5 linked regions of the Oryctolagus cuniculus genome follow. The protein of the gene in region 3 interacts with the protein of the main gene of each other region in a pairwise test. Links are inferred from orthologs where the notes say so. Each region holds a gene or a part of one and is shown on either strand. Other genes may lie near its edges.

The links.
Region 1: the proteins of CCDC172 (region 3) and FAM13C interact in binary tests that used the Homo sapiens proteins (3 or more experiments, as listed by UniProt). The two-hybrid records come from large-scale screens. The link is inferred for Oryctolagus cuniculus from reciprocal best matches to the Homo sapiens genes CCDC172 and FAM13C.
Region 2: the proteins of CCDC172 (region 3) and SMARCE1 interact in binary tests that used the Homo sapiens proteins (3 or more experiments, as listed by UniProt). The two-hybrid records come from large-scale screens. The link is inferred for Oryctolagus cuniculus from reciprocal best matches to the Homo sapiens genes CCDC172 and SMARCE1.
Region 4: the proteins of CCDC172 (region 3) and HDDC3 interact in binary tests that used the Homo sapiens proteins (3 or more experiments, as listed by UniProt). The two-hybrid records come from large-scale screens. The link is inferred for Oryctolagus cuniculus from reciprocal best matches to the Homo sapiens genes CCDC172 and HDDC3.
Region 5: the proteins of CCDC172 (region 3) and DCTN2 interact in binary tests that used the Homo sapiens proteins (3 or more experiments, as listed by UniProt). The two-hybrid records come from large-scale screens. The link is inferred for Oryctolagus cuniculus from reciprocal best matches to the Homo sapiens genes CCDC172 and DCTN2.

The regions. Positions count from the first base shown.
Region 1 is NC_091446.1:51,729,266-51,732,780, reverse strand, and holds part of FAM13C (protein FAM13C), read left to right. Parts: intron 1-920; coding exon 921-1,059; intron 1,060-3,515.
Region 2 is NC_091448.1:21,904,281-21,908,477, reverse strand, and holds the end of SMARCE1 (SWI/SNF-related matrix-associated actin-dependent regulator of chromatin subfamily E member 1), read right to left. Parts: intron 3,946-4,197; coding exon 3,735-3,945; intron 779-3,734; coding exon 570-778; 3' UTR 505-569; downstream 1-504. UniProt on the Homo sapiens protein: Involved in transcriptional activation and repression of select genes by chromatin remodeling (alteration of DNA-nucleosome topology).
Region 3 is NC_091446.1:13,984,192-13,987,706, forward strand, and holds part of CCDC172 (coiled-coil domain-containing protein 172), read right to left. Parts: intron 1,079-3,515; coding exon 962-1,078; intron 1-961.
Region 4 is NC_091443.1:100,334,243-100,337,631, forward strand, and holds HDDC3 (guanosine-3',5'-bis(diphosphate) 3'-pyrophosphohydrolase MESH1), read left to right. Parts: upstream 1-1,346; 5' UTR 1,347-1,397; coding exon 1,398-1,509; intron 1,510-1,883; coding exon 1,884-1,939; intron 1,940-2,047; coding exon 2,048-2,288; intron 2,289-2,490; coding exon 2,491-2,621; 3' UTR 2,622-2,880; downstream 2,881-3,389. Other genes in the region: protein shisa-like-1, read right to left, coding at 33-138. UniProt on the Homo sapiens protein: ppGpp hydrolyzing enzyme involved in starvation response.
Region 5 is NC_091442.1:60,157,696-60,161,654, forward strand, and holds the start of DCTN2 (dynactin subunit 2), read right to left. Parts: upstream 2,816-3,959; 5' UTR 2,616-2,815; coding exon 2,580-2,615; intron 1,704-2,579; coding exon 1,635-1,703; intron 1-1,634. UniProt on the Homo sapiens protein: Part of the dynactin complex that activates the molecular motor dynein for ultra-processive transport along microtubules. In the dynactin soulder domain, binds the ACTR1A filament and acts as a molecular ruler to determine the length.

The sequences.
Region 1 (3,515 bases), about 38 Mb from region 3:
GACTAGTACCCTGAGTTGGTGTATAAGCATGTATGCTAGGGATTGTCAAAAAATTCATGGGAATGAGAGTTAGGGGAAAACTAAGCAGAGATTTGAAAATTGTTTTTGCACCAATGTGCATTTTCTACAAACTCGGTAAAGTACCCTTGTAGGTACATGTAAATGGCAGGACTGTCATTCCTGATGAACCCAGACTCTCGCCCATGTCCAGTGGTAGCAGCCAAGCATGGGTTGTGGGAACGCTAGATACTTGTTAACCTCTGTGTGTTTTACGATTATGAAAAAGTGAGAGCTTTAATAGCCCTCTTCAAATTTCACACATATATATATATATGTATATATATATATATATATTTGTGCACTAGAGTCTATGCCAACATCTGCTCACAAACACGTTGTGATCAGAGGTCTCCTTTATTGAGCAGATGCAACCATGATAACCTCATCACGTGATGAACAAGTTATCTCTGCACTTTGTGATAATCTTTGGTTTGTAGACCAAGCAGCCATGTGTCCTCAAAGACTGTTTGTTTGTTTTCATTTTATTTGGAAGGCAGAGAGACAGAGAAGCCTTCTGAAAAAGATTTATGTATTTGAAAGGGAAAGTCACAGAGAGGAGATAGAGATCTTGCATATGCTGGTTCACCCTCCAAATACCTACAAGAAAGCCAAAGCCAGGAGCCCAGAACTCCATCTAGATTTCCTGCCTCAGTGGCAAGGACCCAACTACTTGAGCCATTATCTGCTGCCTTCCCAGGGTTCCTGTTAGCAAGAAACTGGATGGGAAGTACAGAAGCTGGCACTTGAACTAGGCATTGTGATATGGGATGCAGGCATCCCAAGCCATGTCTTAACTGCTGTGCCCAATGCCCACCCAAGACCACTGTTTTTGACGCTCTTCCCTTCTGTGCCTCCTGCAGGCCCCGAAGTTCTTCCCGGGGCAGCTGTGGTGATAGCAAGGAGCCACAGACCATTACCCAGCTCACCAAGCACATCCAGAGCCTCAAGCGGAAAATTCGGAAATTTGAAGAAAAATTTGAACAGGAAAAGAAGTACCGGGTAAGCACCTGGGGTTGGATGTAAGAGCAGATTGTGTCAGAGCTGTGTGGATATTCCTGGGCTGCGTTCCTTCTTTCTGGGTTGCCTGCTTGGCAGGCATCGACTCCATTCCCACTGGCCAACCCGGACCCATGATAAACTCAGTCTGCATCTTGTGTCTGTTGCAGTCTCCCCTGCTGTTGGTGGGAGGGTCTCTGCTGTGATACTTCTTGTAATGGATTATGACTCTCACTTCTGAACTGGACTGTGATCACACCCTTTTTTCCTGGAGGACCCTATTATCACTAGTTATTCCAGAATGAAAATTTGGAAAGCATTTGAATTTTTGTCTTTTTTTTTTTTAACTTTTTTTCCCATTTTGATAGGGCACTATTAAGGACCTAAAGGGCAGAATGTCCAATTGTGGAGTAGCATCAGGGCAAGATGGTTTCTGTGACACTGAAGCATGTCCTGGTGGGAGAAAAAGGGACCTGTCATGTGACATCAGTTCAGGGCCACCCACAAGAACAAGTCTGCACCTCCTTTGCCATCAGAGAGGCACGAGTCTTCGTGCTAGTGCCGCAGTGCTACAAACATGAGCCTTGCTGCTTCTCACATAATCAGTGCTGCTTTTCTTTATTTTCTCGGATGGCGACCACTGCATAAGGAAAAGTCCTATTCACACGGAACTGCACAAAGATAGTGAGTCTTTGGCAAAGAGCCCAGAACAGCTTGCTATGAGAATAAAAGAAAACAAACAATCCGTCATACATCTTAGAATACGTAAAGGCTCCCTGAGCATTTGGGACAAAAACAGTTGGGAGGTTCCTGTGAGCATGGTGTTAAGTTCTGGGGAGTGCGGTGGAAGAGGGTAGTATTCCAGTCTTCCTGTCCTGTGTTTCCCATAGCGGGCTCAGGTTCACTAATGGGGGAATTTTAAGGAGTGGTTTTCAGCTTTCCAAAGTGGGAGGTAAAACCAGGTTGACTTTTAAGGCAACCTTAGTCAGGATGTTGAAGGTTCTTCTCTTCCCTAGGGTCAGACTGTCACAGCGGTTATTGGGAGCCCTGCCTTAGTCCAGGCCTTTATTTTACAAATAAGGAAACAGAGGCCGGGCAGAGACTTAGAGCTTACATCCCGTGACTGTCTGTCAGCTTGGGCTTGGATCAGTGGGTTGAAGGGGAATAGGTTTTGCAGTGGAGAAGTCAGATAACTCTTACGTGTGCCGTGTTTGAAAGCTCCAGATACTCTGAAAGCACTGATTGTTACCTGCTGCTTGCTGCAGACTTCCTGGGCCTGTGATGTCCCAACCCTGGGAACTGTGGACTACCAGCTCAGGCTTCTTGCCCAGGGCCTGTGAACACATCTTACCTGGAAGTTCAGAATCGGACTCTCCTGGATGTAAATCCAGTGGAGCAACTTAAGAACTTTGTGACTTTGAACTTGACCTCTCTGAGTCTCCATTTGTCTATCCGCTAAGTGCAGTTAATATTAGTGGTAACTTCTTGAGTCTCTGAGTAGTAAATAAGGGATATATATGCTTATTACAGTGTTTGACACAAATTGGGCTACTAGATTCTAAAGTAGCTTTTTAATCTATGTGAGATATATTTGACCAGGCTAGCCAATGGCTATCTCTGTCTTGTCATAAAGCAAAGGAAATTTGTACGTGGTAATTCTCTGTGGGTTTTTCCACCTGTAGCCAGAGACTGTGGATGATTATTCTCAACCATAGCAGCCACCCAGCAGCTGCCTACTTTGGAAGAGAATTTTCCTGGCACCTCCTGCCTTTGTTTAGAGAAGCTGTAAAGCCAAAGCAGATATACACATATAAATACACTTGCAGACAGATGCATCAGGAGGAGCAGGGACAGGGGACTTCATGGTTGGCATTGCTTTAGTGGGCATAAAAGCCCGTGAAATAATCAGAACCTTATATGTCTCAGGAAACAGGGCTTCCCCTTGCCCTTCTTGTCAAGGTGCCAAGCTCTGGTCAGAGGTTTGACCTATCAGTGGGCTTTAACTGGTTGCTGTGTGTAAACTTCCCTTCCCGGCAGCCTGAATGTGGAATTAATAGTTCCCATTGCTCATTTTTGAACCCAAGCTCCTGCCAAGCCTCTGCACTGTTCTGATGCCTGTGTTTATCACACATCTTTGCATCTCTGTTGAATTTGACCATTTTATTCTCCTGTCCCAAACTGTGGTTATTTGCTACAACTGATTTTTTTTGTCTGACTTTTAGATTCTAGAGGTTAGAAAAATGCTGCTGTAGCCACATGTCTACTTGGTGGAAACAGAATGTTAGCATTGTAAGGATCTGCTAGTCTTTTTTTTTTTTTCTTTTCTGACAATTACAGATATTGAGTGAATTCCCTGGGATCACACTACAAAGAACTGATCTAGCCAAGATAACAACTTGGGTCTTCTCAGTATCAGTCCAGAGACCTACTATGTTGTAGAGATCTTCTGTGGAAGACCT
Region 2 (4,197 bases), on a different chromosome or scaffold from region 3:
CTCCAACCCTGGGAGCTGCCCGGGATCAACACGACCCACGTGCAGTCAGCTGCAGGCTGCACGCCACTCCTTCACACACACCTGGAGTCGGACGTTGATTAAATATAAAAAGGGTGAGAACAAATACACACGGACCCATGATCGCATCAAGAAGCTGCTCTCTGCAGAAGTACACGAGAGGGGACTTTCGGGAGGCTGCTGCCAGGACCGAGAGGGTTAAAGCTATGGCTTAGGGAAGCACCCAAGTGAGCTGTAGGAAGGCATTTGTAGAGTAGACTCTGCAGCATCAAAGGATGATTTTCTAAAGGAGGCGAATGCTTTCTCAGTTAACCTAAATTCTGAGGCTTTCCGTAGCTGAGGGCTAGAAACAAGATCCAAAGAAAAGAGCCATGTTCAACGTCTAAGGAAGGTGACTGCCGTTAGGCTCGTGATGCTAAATGGTCCAAAAAGCCTTTGGTGGTGTGATATGGACAAGGAAAAAAATACACAAACCACATAACACCATTAAAACCAAAAAACATTTTTTTTCATTTAAAAAAGTATTTAGAACACATAAAACAAGGCAACATCTATTCTTTTTTCTCATCTTCCGGTATGGGGTCTGTCGGCGGCTCCTCCACCGTGGCACTGTTGCTCTCCGAACCGGTGTTACTGTCACTGGTTCCTTCCTCGGCCAGACTGTCGACCCCCTCCTGCCCACTCTCCTTGTCCTCGGGAGTGGACGTGCCTTCTTCGCCATTCTGCTGGCTCTCTGTCGTTTCTTCCAGGTGCGTCTCCTCTGTAATCACACATGTGTCACCGTCAGTTCCAGACACACATGGGCCCTCATCACGCTGACAGCACGCGGCTGTGCTGCCCAGGAGGGCAGGTAACAGGCACCTGAGATGAGCCAGGGCTACGGAGGAATTTCTAGCATGTGCAGAATGATCCTGGGCGTGGAAAGCCACTCTCTAACCAGAAATTTCTGCTACGTGAATACAGATTAACTTACTTCTGACGAAAATTAAGCTGCTGAACTGAGCTGTGCTCTAAGTGTAAAATACACACAGGATTTCAAAGACTTAGAATACAAGAAAAGTAAAAAAGGTTAATTTTGTTTAAAATGTTGATTACATATTGAATGGTATTATTTAGAAAATACACATACATAATTATCTGTTAAAGATACTTTCATCTGACTTGACTTTTAAAAACGTCACTAGTAGAAAACTTTAAGTACGTATGTAACTCCCATTGTATTTCCGCTGGACAGAGCGGGCTTTGGATTAAATGCGGAGCAAGCCGACGTGGGAAGAATGAGGCTGGAATCTCGGACACGAGACAGAAGTCCTGGGCTGTCTTCTGCAAGACGTTCAACAGCACGAGGTTTCTGCTCTAACGGTCCCTGATAATTTTCCTCAGTTTTCCTTCGAAGCTAGACAGCCAGAACCCAAGTGAAGCCCTAGGCGTTTTGACACGGCTCACTGACAGATGACCAAACAGGCAGGGGCCGGGCGCCCTATCTAGCTGGAACATGAGCAGAGAACCTTACCCTCACTCTCAAACTCTCGCTTTAACCACAACAAAATGCTCATGCTCCCGACGTGCCGAGCTGAAGGTGCTCGCACGGAACAGAAAGGAGGGCAAACAGGAGCTGCCCGCTTGGACGGCCCGACTGGGCAGGAGCTGGGCCGGGACCAAGCCCTGCCACTGCTTCCCTTCCCACCTCCTGCTAATGTGCAACCCGTGGGCAGCAGACCAGGCCCCCGAAGAGCACCTGGGCCCCTGCCCTAGTGCGCAAAATGCAGACAGAACCCTGGCCCCCGGCTTCGGTCTGGCCCAGACCTGGCTGTTGTGGGCATCTGGGAGTAAATCAAAGGAAGAAATCTCTCTCTGCCCTTCAAATAAATAAAAATAAACATTTAAAGCCCTCCCAAGCATTAATCTGGTGAATCAAGCTTTTCAGAAACACCTCCTGGAGATCCACATTCTGGGCTGGTGCCGTGGTGCAGAAGGCAGGTAAGCCCAAGCCTGCAACGCGGCCCAGGTTCAAGTCCCGGCTGCTCCACTTCTGATCCGGCTCCCATGCTAATGCACCTGGGCCCCTGCACCCACGTGGGCGACCTGGAGGAAGCTCCTGGTTCCTGGTTTGAGCCTGGCATAGTCCTGGACATTTAGGGAGTGAACCAGCAGATGAAGATCTCTCTCTCCTTCTCTCTCTGTATTTCTGCCTTTCAAATAAATAAATTTTTTTTTTTCAAAAAAATCTATGTTCCATTAAGTGTTTCCCAGGCGTCTGTCAGCTTAATGCAAAGTACGGCTGCAGAGCCTCCGCCTGCAAAGACCGTGCAGGGAACTCCTGGCTGTTTCCCATGCCTTCCTTCCGCTCAGGCCTGTGTACAGGGGGCACTAGGCAGGGTCAAAGCAGTGCCAACAAGGGAGGTAATCGCAACACTTGAAGTAATAATCCATGTAAGCCGGACTAATTTACCAAAGATGGCCATGTTATTTGTTACCCCCCGAGATTTGTTACCAGGACAATCAGTGCCCCTGAAGTAAACTTTTCTAGGCTGGGGCCTGTCACCTTCTGGCGATGGCTACCTGGTGGCTGTGTCCAGCTTTGTGGCCCAGGGAGGCTCTGCTGCAACTCAGTGCTCTGCCGCCGCCACACAGCCGCAGACGACATGGGGACAATGGGACGGCTGTGTCCAGTAAAGACCCATTGGTGAAAACCAGGGGGCAGGCAGGATCTGGTCTGCAGGGTCTACTCTGCTGAAGGTGGTCCTACACAGCAAAGACAGTCTTAAGAGTGGTAACTGTGGGGGCTGGCACTGTGGCGTAGCTGGTACATCCATCGCCTGCAGTGCTGGCATCCATATGGGTGCCGGTTTGAGTCCTGGCTGCTCTGCTTTTTTTTTTTTAAAGATTTATTTATTTATTTGAAAGTCAGAGTTACAGGGGGGGGGCCTTCCATCTGCTGATGCACCCCCAATTGGCCACAAATGGCCGGAGCTGTGCCAATCAGAAGCCAGGAGCCAGGAGCTTCTTCCAACCAAGATGCCGGCACTGCAGGTAGTAGCTTTACCTTCTACACCACAGCACTGGCCCCAGCTGGCTGCTCCTCTTCCGATCTAGCTCTCTGCTATGGCCTGGGAAAGCAGTAGAAGATGGCCCAAGTCCTTGGGCCCTTGCACCTGCATGGGAGACCCAGAAGAAGCTCCTGGCTCCTGATAGGCCCAGCTCCGGCCGCTGAGGCCATCTGGGAGGTGAACCAGCAGATGGAAGACCTCTTTCTCTGCTTCTGCCTCTCTGTAACTCTGAAAAGTGCTAACTACTGCTTAAACAGTATTAGCACTAAGGGTTAAAATACTGCACGCTAGCTCTGTACCAGATCCAGGAGCAGATCTCTGCAGGCGGCTGCTAGGATGCTTCGAGTGAGGAGGCCGCAGTGGAGTAACTCACCCAAGCTGCAGGGCTGGCCGGCAGGGACGCAGTCCCAGACCTGATCTCATTCCAGAGCCGGTGCCCTCAACTGCTCTCCCATTCCACTTTGTATTCCCAAGCCAGACTGGGGACCCCCAAGGCCTCTGATCCCACACAGCAGACAACCCTCCACTGCCATTCTTCAGTGACCCCAACCTTCCAAGTGCAGCCACCAGAGACCAAGAACGTGGGACGAACCACGTGACCTTGGGGGCTGTTTGGAAGGAAAGACCGGCCGCGGCCTGACCCTCGTGGTGCGGCTGGCAGCGTACCCGTCTCCATTGGAATGCTCTCGTCGTCCTTCTTGTCCTCGGCTTTGCTGGCTGCGTGCTCCTCCTCGGGAATGCCGCTGCCCTGGGCGCGCTCCGCTTGCTCCGCTGCCTCCTTCTCCCTCTCCTCTTGCCTTTTGCGGGCCTGCTCCTCTGCCTGTGCGATTTCAGCTGCGATCTTCTCCATATCCACTTCTACCTTCAAACCGCACAACTAGCAGTCAGAGAAGAGAGAACTTTAGTAATGCCCTTTCCTTATCATTTCTGAGCCAGAGAAATCATTTCAAAGTGGGTGTTCCTTGCCTACGCAATCACACGTGGGTATTTCAAAAAGTTCAGAAACACAGAATTAAAAAATAAATTTTGATGTACTTTAAGAATTTTATTTATTTATATGAAAGGCATAGTGTTAGAAGGAGAGGCAGAGGGAGAGAACGAGGGATTTTTCAATTGTTGGTTCACTCTC
Region 3 (3,515 bases):
AAAGAGGAGAGACATACACCAGTGGCAGGGGATGAGAAGAGGAAGACAGACAGAGATCTCCTAATCACTAGTTTATTCCCCAAGTGCCCGTAACAGCCAGGAATGGGCCAAGCCAGGAGCGGCGAGCAGGAGCAGAGCTGGGACTTAAACCCAGCCACTCTGATGCAGAATGTGGGAATCCCAGCACCATCTTAGCCACTACCCCAAATGCCCATACCCCAAGGAAACCTTTCAAGATGTAGATAATGAAGGCAAAATTATAGATCCATTTCAAAATCACTTACAAATAATAGTTTACATTTTATTAAATATCAATAAGGCATGGAAATAAGAATTTCCAAAAAAATTCTGGATAATGCAAAACCCTACATTTTTTTTCACAAAGCTAGATATTATCACATTTTTTTCCATTTTTTCTAAAAGATGTCAACTAATCATGAGCCACATTCAGAAACTAGCCATGTCATTCAAAATCAAGTTTGTAGATTTTGATTTTCAATATGTATATTTAATATCTTTAAATATATTTTCTTTAAATGTCGATTACATGTCGTCATATTTCTAATCTGGCTTTGTCAGTCAAAACTGATGCTCAGTTCGCTGGCTCTGACTCAAGAAAAAAGAATAAACAAAATCCATTATTTTCCCACATTCATAAATATGCGTAAAGTGTGAAAAGCATTAAAACAAACCAAGTTCTAAAATCCAGAAAATTTCAAAATCAGCTTCACTGTTTTTTAATGCAAATAATTCCTACATCACATCCCTGCCAATAGAATTATCTCAAACTATATTACTTTGTCAATTGATTTTAAATAGCACTTAATACTTTTCTGTAGATACTGAACAGTACTATCTGCCAATATGCATATGGATAATTTTCTGAAAGTACACCTAACTATATTAAAATACTTTTAAACACAGTTATTAAATGGATTTTTCTAAGTGGCTGGAGACTTACAAAGGTTTGGAGAAGCATATTCCTTTGGTTTGTAATTTCACTGCATTGTCTTTCTAAAGCATTTTCATGAGTTTTCAAAAGCTGTAAGAGGAAAGATTTTTCAGAAAACTGCTGAACCTTCAAAGTAAAAAGAAACAAAATGCAGAATGAAACAATTAGACATTTTATTTTAGAGTGTCTTAGTCAATAGAACAGATTTATAAAACACTTTCAGTATTAATTTTAACCTATAAAATAACATTCACATTAAATATCTTACTTTATATGCAGTATCATATAATATTTTATAAATGCCTTATTTTTACAATTTTATAATCTCTCCCCTTGGGAAGACTATCAGCTCCTCAAGGGCAAAGACCATGTTTCTCCACACCCAGCACAGTTCTTAGCTTAGGAACTAAGCTATTAGACTAAGCACACTGAAATCTACTTCAAAATAGTTTGTTCTAAAAAATAAGCTTCTATTCATATTACTTATAAGGAAGACATGGACAAATAAGTCATTTACACAATATGATTAGTAAGTTCATGAGATAAAACCTACAAACTACAGGCAAAAAAAAAATCAGCCACATGATTACATCAAATAACATACAAATCTGTTAATGCCCTTCAATACAGTTGGAGAACACATTTTTTAATGCCTCACATGGTTATAAATAACAAAGTATATAATAAATATTAATTTGTTCTTTAAAATATACTATCTCCTAAAACATAAAAATTGAAACATAAGCCAGGAAGCTTGAAAAGATAAAAACCAAAAATTATGTTGGACAGGTAATCTTTCTACTACATTCAGTACTATCCCTCAAAAAAAAAAAAAAAATCACTTCCAGTTGGGGTTGTTCCCATCTCTACAGAGAAAAGAAAAAGGATATAAATTCAACTTAAATTGCAGAAAGCAAGATTTATGTTGGTTATAAGAACTTCCTCAAGGTGAGAAACAGGTTGTGAAATCTCTGTCCCAGAAGATATTGAATAGTAAAGAGCTTAGCAATAGTCTAGTCCAGAGGCAAAGGGTTGGCTGAAAAGACATTTTGAAATATTATAGCTGAAAAATTCTAGAAATATTGGCATTAAAAAAGGAGCCAAAATAAAGCAGAAAATATGATCTTAGATTTATATAAGATCATAGCACATCTGCACACACCTTCAGTGCTGTTCTTACCAGCCCTATTTTAAGAAAGACATCAACAGAGAAAGATTAGAGAAGTACAATTTACATGACCAAAGGAACTGAGACAAACTGGGGGAGAAAAGATGGATTAGTCAGTATTTTACTGTGTAGCAAGGAACAAATTATAAAACATATGGCCAACTCTATAAAATCATATAGAAATTGACAAGGGCAGAAGAAGAGTATGATCACAAATTCTATTGTATTTATTTAGAATAAGAAAACTCTTTAGGACTACTTAGTGCTTATTATATAAATAAGGATAAAATGAAGTCCAAAGAAGTTAAATACTTCAACAAAGGTAACATACTAATTAGGAGCAGACCCAGAAATAAAATTCAGGGCTTCTGTCTTCCTTTCTTCTAAGCCATGAGATTATACGGAAATATTAGAATGATTTCAAAGTAAAAAAAAAAAAAAAAAGTAATTCTAGATCCTAAAAGGGACTTCAGCCTCTGATAATAGTATTTGAAAGTACGTAAGCTTAAGAAACATTTAGGAACATTGTGTCTCCTAGGGTCACCAGAGCTTATTAAGAAGGTTGTTTGCAGTAAACACCTCTAGGGTTACCACTTTGGACAGGAACCATGAATGCCCACAAAAATGCTTCAGAGACCAAATATTGGGCTGAATAAACTTTAGTTTAACTACTAAGGCATTTCAAGTATCCTGCCCTTCAGAACAAACTTCCTGAATTCTAATTCTCTTTCTGCCACTGATTTGTTATGAAAGATCTTTGTCAAAATCTAAAAGTGGGGGCCAGTGCTGTGGCTTAGTAAGTAAAACCACTACCTGCTGCGCCAACATCCCTTGTTGGTACTGATTCCAGTCCTAGCTGCTCCAGTTCCAAAGCAGCTCCCTGCTAATGTGCCTGGGAAAACAGTGGAAGACAGCTATTATGTCCATTTGGAGAGTGAACCAGAGGATGCATGATCTCTCTCTCCTTCACTCGCTCTCTGAAACTCTGCCTTTCAAATAAATCAATCTTTAAAAAAAATTCCAAAAGTGAAGAAAATATTACCTATCAAATAAACAAAATTTTAACTGAGACAAATTTATTAATAAAATTCAGAAAAATCTTCTGCTAAGGACTCAGAAATTAAGGTACTTGTTTCAGCTATCACTAACTCAGAGCTAAAATTACAGTGAGTTAAAATAACAAATATCCAAGAGAGGCAAATGTCATAAATAGCATTTAACTAAAACATTTTCTCATAAGTTGAAAAATAAAACCTATATACCAAAAATTAAAAAGTAGACAACTATTCAAAAGATTCATAAAAAGGACATGCCTATAATTTTCCTCTCCCCTAAAATTCTATGTAAATTATCCATTTTGTGGTCTTCCCTGTTTCTATTTTTAGTCTCTAAAAA
Region 4 (3,389 bases), on a different chromosome or scaffold from region 3:
GCAGCCCGCAAAACGCCCGGGAAGCGCAGTACCTGAGAGAGAGGTGGGCCGAGCACGGGACCCCGGACCCAGGAGCAGCAGTAGCCCCACCCACAGGCCTGTGGGCGAGGGGCCGGGCCCCCTTTTCTGGAAGCCCATGAGAGGTCACCTCGGCCTCCGCCCTGGTGCTAGGAACCCCAGCATCTCCTCGGCGTGGCCGCGGTTGCAGACAGAATACAAGATCAAAGCCGCCAGGCCGTGGGCCCACAACCCTGCTGGAGCTGCCCTGTCCCAGGCTTCTGGAGAGAGATGAAAGGGACCGGGTTTGTGTCTCTCGGTGGAATTCGCGCCTGAGGTTTTCTGGGCGCAAGGGGGACCGGCCCGGAATGGAGGGTGAGCGAGAAGTGGGGCCGTGAGCCCCCAGGACAGGCACCAGGAGCTGGGTGAGCTCCTTGCCACCTGTTCTGCAGCTCCCTGGCTGCCCGTGGAAGCCCTGGGAGTTCTCACCCCTCTCTTTCAGCCCCCAGGGACCCCAGCTCCCTCCCTGTGCAGCGTAGCAACCAGCAAGACTACATGGAGACCAAGGGTGAGCCCTGCTTGGTAACCTTTCCCCTGAGCCTCACCAGCCCAGCCGCCCGCCTAAACAGAAGTTCCCAATCCGACTGGATGGCGCGTGGCCACCAGGCAACTCCATGTCACCGAGAGGCTCTCTGGGGGTCCCCAGGTGCCTCGAACCCCTCCTCCCTCATACCTGCCATTTCCAGAAGCCCCGTGGCCACCAGCTGGCTGAGTTCGGTGTCTTTCCAGTGCCTACCCGGGGCCTCACAGCGTCATGCTCCCAGGACAACAGGGACAAACACCTGCCACCCTCCGCCCCCCCCCCGGGGGGGGTGCCGAGGCAGGTGCCTGGGGACTGGAGCAGGAGGCGCCCTAATGGCTTTCCACAGCCAACACCAATTCTGTTCCAGCGCCAAGAACCAGGGCAGTTCCTGTAGAAACATTGCTGCGGCTGGGCCGGGCTCCCAGGGCAGCCTGAGCTTCCCAGAAGGTCAGGCCCTCGGGCTTCCTGGCTCATCCTTGCGGGGAGAACTGTTTTCCCAGCACCTGGAGATCGCTTAGTCTTTCCTGGTGGAAACCGGCTGGGTGGAGTGCCCCAGGCTCCGCACACTGTGAGGCTACTTTTTTTTTTTTTTTTTCATATCTTTCCACTGACTGTGGGCTCCCAGGGAGCCACGCTACGCTTTTCGTATAACCCAGCAGGACACGCCGAGCCGGGCGCTGCTTCCCGCCCCGTGGTCCTGTGTGCCCAGGCTGTCAGCCCCAGGCCCACTCTTAGCTGGCTGCAACAATGAGGGCCTCCGCGGCGCCAGGGGGCGCTCTAGACGCCCGCGAGCGCAGTGGCCAGCCCCACCCGCGCCATGGGCTCCGAGGCCGCACAGCTGCTGGAGGCCGCAGACTTCGCGGCTCGCAAGCACCGGCAGCAGCGCCGGAAGGACCCCGAAAGGACACCCTACATCAACCACCCGATCGGTGGGCGCGCCCGGCCGGGGAGCAACCGTCGCGGCGCCTGGGGGCGGGGGCTGGGGGGGGACCCGGAAGGGGTCGCGGGGGCCGTGCGCTTCCTTGAGCGCCCACTTTGTGCCAAGCGCTGTGCAGGCAGCGTCCGTGCGGCAGGCCAGGTGGGCCGCACTGCAACCCGGCGCAGTAAGCGTGACTGCTCCCTTCGCACGGTTGACACCCAAGCAGGGTAAAGGACTTGCCCAGGGTCGCCCAGCCTGTGAGGGGGTCTCTATCTGGCTGCCCACGACCCCACAGCCGCCATCTCGCGGCTCCCTCCGGTCTCACTCATTGTTTTGCCCCCATCTCACCCCCCACCCCCACCCCCATCCCAATCCGCCCGCCAGGTGTGGCTCGGATCCTGACCCATGAGGCGGGAATCACTGACATTGTGGTGTTACAGGTAACTGCCCCACTTCTCAGGAGGGTTCAGGCCCCCCACACACACACACCCTCAGCAATGGGCACCCCTGGACTGGCATCGCGTGGCTGAACGGGAGCCTGTCCCCAGGCGGCCCTGCTCCACGACACCGTGGAGGACACGGACACCACCCTGGACGAGGTGGAGCTGCACTTTGGGGCGCAGGTGCGGCGCCTGGTGGAGGAGGTGACAGATGACAAGACTCTGCCCAAGCTGGAGAGAAAGCGGCTGCAGGTGGAGCACGCGCCCCACAGCAGCCCGGGGGCCAAACTGGTGAAGCTGGCCGACAAGCTGTACAATCTGAGAGACCTCAAGCGCTGCACCCCGGAGGGTACGCTCCCCACCCCGCACTCCCCTGCTGGCCCTGGGGGAAGGGAGGGAGCAGCCCTCGGGAGGCCGCAGGTGGCTCCGCGGGTCCCACCCGCCACCCTCTGAGGTTTTCAGCACAGATCGCCCCATTGGGAGCTCGGGCCAGGGCCCTGCACCACACCTTCCCGGAAGTGGACAGCAGCTTCCTGTCCACTCTCGCGCAGGGTGGTCAGAACCTCGAGTGCAGGAATACTTCGAGTGGGCGGCGCAGGTGGTGAAGGGGCTTCGGGGAACAAACCGGCAGCTGGAAGAGGCCCTGGAGCAGCTGTTCAGCGAGCGTGGGCTGACGCTCTGAGCACCGGGGGCCAGGCCGCGTGCAGACCCCGGCTTTCGGGGCCTCCCCTTCTCCCTCCGCCCACGTACACTTGGTTCCCCCCTCTGCAGAGGCTCAGTTCTCCCCAGCGGGAGGCAGCTGTAGCCAGTCCGTTCCTAATGCACTCACTGCCTTTGCCCACGTCGAAGCCCTGAGATCGCTGGTCCCTCGGGGACGTGGGCTTGTTTACACTCTAGGTGATCAGCCACCAAGGAAAATAAAGCGTGTTGGGTAAAAGGAAGCTGCGGCTGCTCCTTCGCCTTGTCCGTGGCCTGCTCCCCCGGAGTGAGGGCCTCGCCCCTTCCAGCCTCCCTTCCCTAAGGGGTAGGTGGGTTGTATCCTTAGCAGGAAGCCTCCACCTTGGGAAAGTCGCGAGGGATGACGCATGGTTTGGAAAGGAGTGCCGCCCGCCCCCTGGCAAACCTCGCTGCCCACTGGGGAGACCCCAGCCGCCCCCACGACGGAGCCAGGAAACCGAGTCTCGCAGGCTCCTCCCCCGCGCAGCGGCGCTCCGGTTGCTAGGCGACGGGCAGTTCCGGCCCCGCCCCCTGCAGGCCTGGGGCGGGGCAGAGGTCGCCATCGCCAGCTGGTGGGGTTGGGTGGTGGCTGTGAAGCCGACCGAGGACAAGGAAACGTCGGAGGACAAGGAAACTTAGCTCAAAGGCCGCTGTGTGCTGGACCGCAGGACTGTTTTGCCCAGTGTAGGGCGAAAAGACGCGGAGCGGGAAGCTCCCGTGTAAACGGATACCC
Region 5 (3,959 bases), on a different chromosome or scaffold from region 3:
TGTGGCAGCACAGGGAAGTTCTCAGCTTATATCACTCCTATCCTGTGAGGATGGAAGCAGCTTGCTGGAGCGACAGGTGCACACTCTTGGAGTGACAGGTGCACCCTCAGATCCTTGGCAACAACATCATCTGCATTATCTCCAGATACTCAAGCTTGGGGGACAGACTGACATGCCAGCGAGTATGGAAGCCACAAGGAACACATCACTGAGAGAGGGGACAGGGAAGGTGTTCCCCACAATGTAGGAAGCACTTCCACAAGGGGGAATCAAATAAATAAGTGAGTACGCCAAGCCATACATAGGAAGCCAGCAACCAGCATTCCCCAGAACTAACCAGCCCCACAGATGCAGCCACAGGACTTACAGACACGCATCCTGAGCCTGTTCCCAGTGACTCTTGGCCACAGCTTCTCTGAGTCTCACATAATCAACGTGACCCAGCCCAGCTCTCTTTGGAAACAGAAGAACCTAAAAGCCAGCCTGTGAAACATACTAATAGATTTTTGTCCCCCTTGGCACTTATGCACCTAGTTTTTACTATGTTCATTTTCATTCACTCAACTTTGTTTTTTTCCCCCATGTTTCCTACATGTATCCCAATTCTCCCTTAGTCTTGGGCTTTCTAAGGACAGGGGCTTTTCTTCCTCTGTGCTGCACAAAGAATAAACACATTTAATAAATGATGCTGAATGGTTCTGCTTGGGGCAGCAGTTGGATGCCACGTGGGCCACCTGCAGCCTGCACCATGGCGCCTGGGTTTCCGTCCCAGCTCTGCTCCAGGCCAGCTTCCTGCTAATGCACGCTGTGGGAGGCAGCAGGTGACTGCTTCAAGCATGTGGATACCAGCCACCCATGCGGGAGACCCAGACTGAGTTCCTGGATCCAGGCTCCGGCCTGGCCCAGCCCAGCTATTGCAGGCAGACAGGGACTGAACCAGCAGATGTTATTTCTCTTTCTGCCTTTCATATTTAAAAAAAAAATTCCCTGCCTTTCATAGTTGTATTTCCTTTAAAAAAAAAAAAAAGAAAAAAAAAAGGCTCTCCTCATGGTTAAACTGTCTCCACTGCTAGCTTCTTCCTCCTGAGTTCTGGATCTGGAAGAGCTACCACAGCCTCTCCTCTGCTGACACGAAACACGTGTGTTCTTCCTCAAACTTCTTTTGTTCTGATCAGGTCCGTTATCTAACATCTCCAAATAATCTTCCTGGCTCCTTGCCCAATGGCTGTAAGAAGTATTCCTCTATACTTCAAAGTCTAGTTCTTGGGAGGATACTCATGAACATGTAGAAAGCCTATTTTCTTTATCTGGAGTGCTCATGCATCATGGCTCACTGCTATGGATGAGAACCCAAGGCCTAGTGAACTAAGTCATCAGTGCCAAATGGAATTGTTCTATTTCAGTTTAAATATCTAAAGGCCCAAGGACCGGGGCTTTGCACACAGGTCTCGTTAGCGGTAATCCTACTGGCTTGACTCTCGCTCCTGGCTCTGCTCCTCGGCGGCTGTGAGGCCAGGAAGGCCTATGCAAGCTGTGCAGCCTGGGGTTGGCATACCCGCTTATTGCTGTGGCTTTGCAGACCAGGGGAAGGGCCTGTGTTGGGGGAGGAGTCCTGAGGCAGCACAGTGTCTTACCGCATCAAACTCCGCTTGATCATCCTCAGGTAGGTCGCTGGTTTCATACACATCTGGCTCGTTCCTGGCCTGCAGGCAGAAGCAGGGACCACCCAGCCTCACTACCCAGCACCCATCAGCACCTCCATCCCCACTCCCATTTGAACGAGCTAACGGTGAAGGCAGGCTATGATGCCAGGATCCTGTCCCTTCTCCTCCACCTGCACTGTCAACAGCGTGTCTGTACCCCGATCTCCGAGTAATGGGGATGACAGTGGGCACAACTGGGAGCTGAGCGTAAGTGTTAGTGATAACAAACCCTGATTCTGGAGGGGGGCACGTCCGAAGGAGGTGAGGGCTATCCTCGAATTAGGCCCTGTACATCACTACCCTGGCTGAAGAGTTACAGTGACTCAGGACCCAGCACTCTACCTCCTGTGCCCCACCCCCAAGAACTCAGGCCGGGCAGCACAAAAGCCAACGCGTGCATGTAGGTAGGGGGGGCGCCGGCTTCCCGAAGGCCAGACCTCCCCATGTGACACAAGAAGGGGTTCTGCCACAGGAACCTCTTCCTTGGCAGGTTTATGACCACAAGGGGCCTGGTGTTGTGTGTCGGGGCTAGGGACGGGGGTGGGGGGGCTCATGGGGAGGTCTGCAGAGGCACGGGCGGGGTTGACACAGATGGTAAAAACAAGGGTACAAGTGGTAAGCGTCCGGAGACGATTTCTGGGCCGAGAAGCCGGCGGCTGCTGGAAAGGGGGCCTGGTGGGCTGTCCGAAAACCCGGCCTGGCTCCGGCCGGGTCAGTGGTCCGGGGAGGTGCTGCGGCCGGCTGGAGAGCAGCGGCGGGAGCCCTCGGGGCTGAGGAGGGGCGGCAGGCGGGAGGGGTCGCGGGTAGGTTTCTGTTGGGGGTCCCTGGGAGGTCGGGGCCGCGGTCCTAGGGAACCGGGGCCGGCCCTGTACTCACAATGCCGGGAAGGTCGGCGTATTTAGGGTCCGCCATGGCGGCGGCGAGGCGGGGCTGGGGGACCGGGGCCTCGGCGAAGCCGGGGCCGGTGACCGGGTAGGGGAGAGGCTGGGTCCGGGTCCCCGGCTAAGGCGGCGGCAAAGGGAGCGGCAGAGGCGCAGGAAGTCTCGCGACAAAAGCACAGTAGAAGGGTAAAGCAAAAGTCGCGAGAGCAGCCCGCGACCACACCCCTGGAGAGGCAGGGATTGGCGAAAACGAGGCCAGGCGATGAGGTAATGGCCAGGGGACGCCGCCTAGGATTGTGGGATGTGTAGTCTGGGTCCCCCGCGTCGGGGCGGGGACCGGCCCTAACGCACCTGGAGGAGCTCCATCACACAGCTGCTTGCTTTTATTGCTACAGCAGGTCTGTGAATAACGTTTACAGCTGCTGTGTTGGCCTCCCAGAACCTGCCTATAGAAAACCACACAGCTAGTCCTGCTGTGTAGCATAGCCCTGGCTTCAGAAACAATAGCAAGAAGTAACATTTCCTAAGTGCTTAGTGCATGTTTGTTAGGAACGGAAAAGTTAAGCAACCTTTGCCAATTAGGACTGGCAGATAAGATACGGGGCGCCCAGTTACATCTGAATTTCAGGTAAACAATAGGCCATTTGTGTTGTTTTTCTATGAGTATATTCTATGTCATATACTGGCACAAAGAAATTATTATTTACCGGAAATTCAAATTTAAGTGGGCATCTTGGTTTTGTGCTTTTCAAACCTGGCAATCCTACAGAAGTTCAGGAAAGGATAAGTGGTGCTTCCATGTTTGAACACTGTGTTCTTGATCACTTGGCCAACAGTTCCTGGACTTTTGAATGTCATGGTCCGGTAAAATTAAAACAACAAGCCTTTTTTGAGGGCAGACATAGCATTGCTGTCTTTTTATTTTACTAAGTAAGGACATTACAGACAGAAAAACCTACTATCTATCTGTTATCACCATCATCATTCAATAAAAAGTAGGAAGGGCAGGCTCTCAGAATAAAAGACAGCCCTTTGAGACATAACAAATCATGTAGTTTTTGAGGGCATGTGACCAGTGACCCCCCCACACCATGGACTGGCGATCTGAAGCCCCTTCACTAAGGATGCCACCTTGGAGCCCCTGGGATGTTTCCTGAACTTGCCAGATGCTGCAACACGGAGAATCAGTGCCAAACCAAGTGACTGGAGAGTTCCTGAATTTGGAATCACTGTCATTCTCTTTGCGGGCTCCTGCCCAAGCCTCTGCTTCCTCTCCAGAGTCCTGCTGCCCTGCCATCCGTTCCTCAGGCCAGACCCCTTTCCTGCAGCTCCCTGAAGATTCAAGAGGGGTTGGCAGTGTTCTGAGCGCTTCTGT